2 linked regions of the Canis lupus familiaris genome follow. The protein of the gene in region 2 interacts with the protein of the main gene of each other region in a pairwise test. Links are inferred from orthologs where the notes say so. Each region holds a gene or a part of one and is shown on either strand. Other genes may lie near its edges.

Region 1 (3,649 bases), on a different chromosome or scaffold from region 2:
ACAATCCAGCTTCTTCACCACATAACTTGCAAGGGAAGAAAGAGAGCTAAAGATGCAGGTAGAGATGGAGAGAGAACAGTGAAATGAAAAGGAACCCACAGAGGAGGCTTCAAGAGACATCATCCCATCACCATATGTTGAACACATTTGCACTCTAATTAAACAAAAAGTAATTTTTAAAAAATGATGACATTTAAGAGGATTAGAAATGTGAACATCAGATAATTGATGATATTCAAGAGCTGTGCTGTTAGTAAGATCATGGTATTGTTCTTTTTTAAAAGTAATTTTCAAAAAAAAAGTAATTTTCTTTCTTTTTTTTTTTTTTTTAAGATTTCATTTATTTATTCACGAGACACACACACACACAGATAGGCAGAGACAGGCAGAGGGAGAAGCAGGCTCCATGCAGGGAGCCCAACATGGGACCGGATCCCTGGCCCCAGGATCAGGCCCTGGGCCGAAGGTGGCGCTAAAACACTGCGCCACCAGGCTGCCCCAAAAGTAATTTTCTTGGGACACCTGGGTGGCTCAGCAGTTGAGCACCTGCCTTCAGCTCAGGGCCTGATCCCGGATTACCGGGATCACATCTCGCATCAGGCTCCTTGCATGGAGCCTGCTTCTCTATCTGCCTGTGTCTCTGCCTCTGTGTGTGTGTCTGTCTCTCATGAATTAATAAATAAAATCTTTAAAAGAAAAAAGTAATTTTCTTTTAGAAATTATACTGAAATAGTTATGGGTGAAATGATATGATGGCTGGAATTGCTTCAAAATAATCCAGAGAGGGGAAAGAGGGAGAAGATGTACATGAAACAAGATTGGTATGAGCCAAAGTGTTCAGGCTGCATGGTGGGCATGTAGGGGTTTGTTATATTATTCTAAATATTTTTTATAATTTCTATGATACAAAGTTGTTGTTGTTCAAGTGTTGAGATAAAATCGGACCTGGTGAGTAAAGTGCAAAGGGCCTGGATCGCCTGCTGAGGGGCTTAACTTGGAACTCTGGGTTTTGAAGGGGAGCCTTACCTTGTACAGAACCTGCCAATCACTGGTCTTGGTGTGGGACAGCTTCATGCGTTTCAGAATCAGCTACAGTCAGACAAGGGGATGGCCGCTGTCTTCTCTCCTCCATTCTAATGCCCCCAAGAATCCCAGTGCTCCTTCCCTACCTCCCTGCCCTGGCCTGGGCTCACAGGCACATTCTTGATATGACCCAGAAGCCGATGCAGCATTTGAGCCATGTCCAGATTCTGAGGTAGGAGGAAAAACTGAATGACATCCAGCCGAGAATTTAGCTCTTCCAGATCCTGAGTTGGACGTGTGAACCACAGCCTGGAAGTGAGGGATGAAGTAGGGAGGGACCAGAAGTTACATCTGTTCTCATCATTGTCTTGATTTCAATTTGTGAAAAATGTGTGTTTGGAAGTCCCTGGGGATTGGGGTGAAATGTATCTGTACTGGCAAGTACAGTGTCCTATCCACATGGGTATGTTTACACATATTCACTAAAAATCTCTGCATGTGAGCATGACTCTGTTTATCGTGGTTTTGATGGATGTGACCATGTGTCACTCCATGTGGATATGCGACAGAGCTTGTCAATATTTAGACGGAGAGCAGCATATTGAGGTATTTGTGTGCCAACATTCTAGCTCTCTCTGCGGCTGAGTAAGACAGGGTGAGTCAGCATGAGTTTATCTGCATTTGGCTGTAAGTGTCTCTGGGTGTGACAGTACAGACATCTTTTCCTGTTCTGTAAAAGTATATAACCATTCCATGGGGAATGATAAGTCCTCAATTCATGATAATGGTCACTTCTGCAGAGAAGAAAGGGTTGGGAAGGGACACTTAAGAGGTGTCAATAACATTGTCTTTTTTTTTTAAGACTCTTTAAAACTTTTATTTATTGATTTATCTGAGAGAGTGCGCACATGAACAAGGGGAGTGGTAGGGGGAAAAACAGCCTTCCTGCAAAGTGAAGAGCCTGATGCAGGGCTCCATCCCAGGACCTGAGATCATGACCTGAGTCAAAGTCAGACAACCAATTGAGCCACCCAGCGACCCCCTCCCCAACCTTTTTAAGTAAGCTCTATGCCCATCGTGGGGCTTGAACTCACAACCCCAAGATCAAGAGTCACGTGCTCTATCAACTGAGCCAGCAGCAGGGCACCCCTTTAGTAACATTGTTATATTCTTAAATATGCAGGTGCAAACATAGAGGTTTATATCATCATCATCATCATCATTACTTCTACTATTGTGTGTCTGAGGTATTTTCTACTAAATTAAATTAGTATACGGTAATAAATCTCTCATCTGGGTTTGTCTGAGTGTCCTTGTCTCTCTATGGCTATGAAGAGTGTGACTCTGCAAGGACCTGTGAGACAATGAATTCTTTTCTGCATTAGAGCAGGACATTTAGCCATGCTATTTTATATAAAGCAACCTGAGGAGACACTGGGGCCTGAGGATATGTATCTCACACTATAGCCTAAGGCCAGTTACCCTGGGTTAGAACACCGCAGGGAGTGAAGCGGAGGGCTGGGTGGGATTCAAGGGTGGGTTTTAGGCACCTCTGCTCCTCAGCCACAGACAGCTCCACCTGCAGCAATGTAGGCCAGACTGTGAATACCTGTCCCCATTCTGGAAAGCACAACCTTCACCAAGCCATCTATCTTGTAAAATCCTGAGATATTTCTGACTCATGTACTGCTAGTGCCAGATATCGTAATCAAGCTAAATCTCCTAATTTTACAGCCGAGAAAATGAAGCCCTTAGAGAATAAGCAGCTTGTCCAAAGTTACTGTGCTAGTAAGAAGTATAGCTGGGTCTCCAACTCAGGTCTCCAGACTACTAGGGCAGTGCTTTTCAGAGCACACTGTGACATCCAGTCACCTTCCTGGTGCCCCGTCCTGCTGTAGGCCAATTGGACCCCTAGTTCATAATTCAGGTTATGAGTCCATGCCCTACTGGATCCTACCTGGGGGATTGGCATTCCTTTCTGCATTTAACTCTGTTCTTCTCTAAGAATTCTTTTGCTCTCATCACTGGCTGAGATGAGAGATCTGCACCTGTAGAATGCGAGGGTAATTAACTCATCCCAATTACCTGGAGACAACCTCAGACATTATCCTAAATTAACTGCCAAAAGACACAAAGTGCAGGGCACATGAGGTGAAGAAAGAATTGTGCATCTGTGGGCTAGCAAAGCCTTCAGCTCTGAGCTTGTAGAGACAATGGGACCAATGTGCTTGCATCTGTGTACCGTGCTCACTCGCTGGGTGCTACTACATCCAAGGCCATGTGCTAGACACCGACATTAACAGACATGACCACTGTATGGAGCTCACAGATATGAGTGAGCAGGTTCACTGACCGCTGACTCCAACCTAATGGAACAGTGCAGCCAGGAAACATAAACAGGCACTAAGCACGCAGGAAGGTGCAGGTCAGTCTGCTTCCAGGTGCCTGTGAAAGTTTCCCCGAACAGGTGACAGAGGGCTTGCCACCTTGAAGAGGAGGACAGATTCTGACAAGTGAAGAACAAGGGAAAAATCTTTCATAGAAGGAACTGCATAAACACAGGCATGGTGTATTTCCATGGTAGAAAATGGCCCAAACGACCAGAATATAAGGTGGGTCCAGTGAG
Region 2 (3,649 bases):
CCCAGGTCTCCAGGATCGCGCCCTGGGCCAAAGGCAGGCGCCAAACCGCTGCGCCACCCAGGGATCCCCCTTTCCTAGAAGTATTAACAGTCCGTGAGAAATTATGTACTGATAGCTGGGACAAACGCTGTATGCTCACTGCATGACGTTCACACAATGCTATGGGTAGGTGGTGGTCTCCGGTTCATAGATGAGAGAGCTGAGGACACTCACAGGCCACAGTTGGGAGTGGCAGAGCTGGTGCTTACAGGTAGGCCTGCCAGAGCCCTGACCCTGGGCTGCTCCTCTGTAGAGGACAGGGGCCAGCCCCAGGTTCCCCCCACAAAGGAGCCTTTGGTCTGGAGATGTTAAAAGTCTTCCCATTGTGTTTCAGATCCCCTGGATCACGAGCCTCCTGTGTCTCCACTGCTCCCTCGAAAAGAACGGGGTCCCCAAGACAGCAGCCTAAATGAAGATGAGCGCCTTCTCCCCAAAGACAAAAAGACCAACTTGTTCAGTGCCTTGATCAAAAAGAAGAAGAAAACGGCCCCAACACCCCCAAAACGCAGCAGCTCCTTCCGGGAGATGGACGGCCAGCCCGAGCGCAAGGCAGCCGTTGAGGAGGAGGGCCGAGAAACCAGCAATGGGGTGCCAGCCCTCACCACCCTGGACGCAGCCGAGCCAGCCAAGTCCCCAAAGCCCAGCAGCGGGGCGGGTGTCCCGAATGGAGCCTTCCGGGAGTCGGGGGGACCAGGCTTCCGGTCTCCCCACCTGTGGAAAAAGTCCAGTACACTGACCAGTAGCCGCCTGACCGCCAATGAGGAGGAGAGTGGCGGCAGCTCCAGCAAGCGCTTCCTGAGGTCCTGCTCGGCCTCATGTGTGCCCCACGGGGCCAAGGACACAGAGTGGAGGTCTGTCACGCTGCCTCGGGATCTGCAGTCCACAGGGAGGCAGTTCGACTCGTCCACATTTGGAGGGCACAAGAGCGAGAAGCCAGCTCTGCCTCGGAAACGGGCGAGTGAGAATAGGTCTGACCAGGTGACCAGAGGCACAGTGACCCCCCCACCCCGGCTGGTGAAAAAGACTGAGGACGCAGCAGATGAGGTCTTTCGAGACATGGGGGAGTCCAGTCCAGGCTCCAGCCCTCCCAGTCTGACTCCAAAACTCCTCCGCAAGCAGGTGTCGGGGGCTCCTTCCTCCAGCCTTCCCCACAAAGACGAGGCCGGGAAGTCCAGTGCCTTGGGGACCCCTACCACAGCTGAGCTGGGGACCCCTGCCAGCAGAGGAGGGCCAGGGATGTCCGGAGGGGCCAGCAAGGCCCCCGCAGAGGAGCCCAGAGCCAGGAGGCACAAGCCCTCCTCCGAGTCCCCAGGGAGAGACAAGGGGAAACTGTCCAAGCTCAAACCTGTCCCACCGCCCCCACTACCAGCTTCCATTGGGAAAGCCGGGAAGCCTTCTCAGAGCCTGAGCCAGGAAGCAGCTGGGGAGGCCAGCACTGGTGGGAAAGCCAAAGCCGCAGCAGTGGTTGTGGATGCTGTGAACAGTGACACCGTCAAGCCCGGTCTGCTGGGAGAAGGCGTCAAAAAGCCCGTGCTCCCATCCATGCCAAAGCCGCAGTCGTCCGGCAAGCCGGCGGGGACCCCAGCCAGCCCGGCTTCCGCCCCTTCCACGCTGTCATCCGCATCCTCTGCCCTGGCTGTGGACCAGCCAGCCTCCACTGCCTTCATCCCTCTCATATCAACCCGTGTGTCTCTTCGGAAAACCCGCCAGCCTCCTGAGCGGATCGCCAGTGGCACCATCACCAAGGGTGTGGTCCTGGATGGCACGGAGGCTCTGTGCCTCGCCATCTCTAAGAACTCCGAGCAGATGGCCAGCCACAGCGCTGTACTTGAAGCCGGCAAGAATCTCTACACATTCTGTGTGAGCTACGTGGATTCTATCCAGCAAATGAGGAACAAATTCGCCTTCCGTGAGGCCATCAACAAACTGGAGAATAATCTCCGGGAACTTCAGATCTGCCCGGCGACAGCAGGGAGTGGCCCGGCGGCCACTCAGGACTTCAGCAAACTCCTCAGCTCCGTGAAGGAGATCAGTGACATCGTGCAGAGGTAGCAGAAGCCAGGCATCAGGCCAGCTGGAGCCGCCTACAGTGTGTGAGGCTGCCCCATGCCTGCCACAGTGGCTGACACAGACCAGAGAGTTGGGACGTTGGCCGGGGAGCTCCATGTGAAAGGAGCTGAGAGGGTCACTGTGGAGCACAGCCCTACTACCTAACATTTTGCGCCAGCTGTTTTTCTGCACTTTTCCTGTCCCCAGCCCAGGCTCCCTGAACCACCTCTGTCCTGAGTTCTATCTGTGGGGTTCCTGCTCTGTGGACTCCAGTTGGCCCGCCAGCCTCTTCCCCATGCCGTGCTCCAGAACTGAGCTCTTCAGGCCAGGTGGGAAAGCGGATGAGCATTTCCTTTTCTCTCTTGTTTCCAGAGGCCTTCTTCTGGCCATGCCATCTCCTCCACTTCCCCCCAAGAGCGAGTGCCCTGCACAGGAGCCTTGTCATCAAGGCCTAGGAACTATCCCTTCCACTTACCGCATGGAGGCAGCCTGCACTCCTCTTCTGGTGCCTCCTGCACTGAAGACATGTTTCCAGAACTATATCCTGGGAAATGCTGTCACTCTGCCTTCCATTGCTGCCGGGGGCTGGTGCCCTCACACTTCCTCATATGAAGGACAGCTCTTGATTTGGGGGTTAAAACAGGGTGCTAAAACCAACCAGCCTTTGGGTCCTAGGACAGGTGGGGGAGCTGAAGAGGCCTTTGGGGTGGGAGGTTGTCCTTGTTATCTGTTCTTTCAGCTCCTTGCTGTCTTGTGACATGCACTGCTCATCCTGGATAGAAAGCTTGAGTCTTAAGGGTAGGAGGGGTTGCAGTCAAAGAACAGGGGAGTTGGAGGGGGGGTGCTCCCTGGGTGAACAGCTGGTGGCCTAGGGCTGGGCCTAGGGCAGGTCTGCCACGGGCCCAGGTCACCTTCCTTTCAGATTTCCAGGTACTCAGAAAAGCCACTTGGTCTTGATTTCTGACCGACCTCCTCCTCCTCCCTTGCACTCCTCTGAGACAGAGTAGATTGATGCAAAACTCTTTCCTGTGTGACAAGCCAGTCCTTAGTTTTCTGGAGTTCTTGAAGCATTTCATGGCTCCGCCCTCAGCCCAGCCACCCTCGGTACAGTAGGACCTGCCATCTGCCACCAGAGCACGGGAGGATGAGGACTGTGGATCCAAAGCCTCAGCCACTGTTGGCCGTGCACTAAGGGGCAGACGTCCTATTAAATGACCGTGAGCAGCATGGAGTCCCCTGTTTCTGTTGGGGTTATCAGGGATGAAGAAGACCATAATCAAGTGAAGCTCCAGAAAGTGTCTCAAAGAGCAGGCATTGGTCTCTCCCCAGGCGGCCCCGGACCATCTTGACCTTGACCTAGAGCAGCTACTGAAGAGCAGACAGGCACCTTCCTGGGCCTCATGCCAAGCCTGGGAGCAGCCCTTGGAGAAACCAAGACAACCACCTTCCACCCCCACACCTTCTCATGCCATGACCGCACACAGGCCCCGTTTTTAATGCTCCTTGCCTAAACTTGTATTTTGTTTCTCTGGTAGAGATGGTTTCCTCTGGATCAATTTAC

Evidence for each region.
Region 1: the proteins of ABL1 (region 2) and MSH5 interact in binary tests that used the Homo sapiens proteins (3 or more experiments, as listed by UniProt). The link is inferred for Canis lupus familiaris from reciprocal best matches to the Homo sapiens genes ABL1 and MSH5.

Annotation. Positions count from the first base shown.
Region 1 is NC_049233.1:1,365,327-1,368,975, reverse strand, and holds part of MSH5 (mutS protein homolog 5), read right to left. Parts: intron 1,333-3,649; coding exon 1,170-1,332; intron 1,090-1,169; coding exon 1,027-1,089; intron 1-1,026.
Region 2 is NC_049230.1:53,210,517-53,214,165, reverse strand, and holds part of ABL1 (tyrosine-protein kinase ABL1), read left to right. Parts: intron 1-373; coding exon 374-2,091; 3' UTR 2,092-3,649. UniProt on the Homo sapiens protein: Non-receptor tyrosine-protein kinase that plays a role in many key processes linked to cell growth and survival such as cytoskeleton remodeling in response to extracellular stimuli, cell motility and adhesion, receptor endocytosis, autophagy, DNA damage response and apoptosis.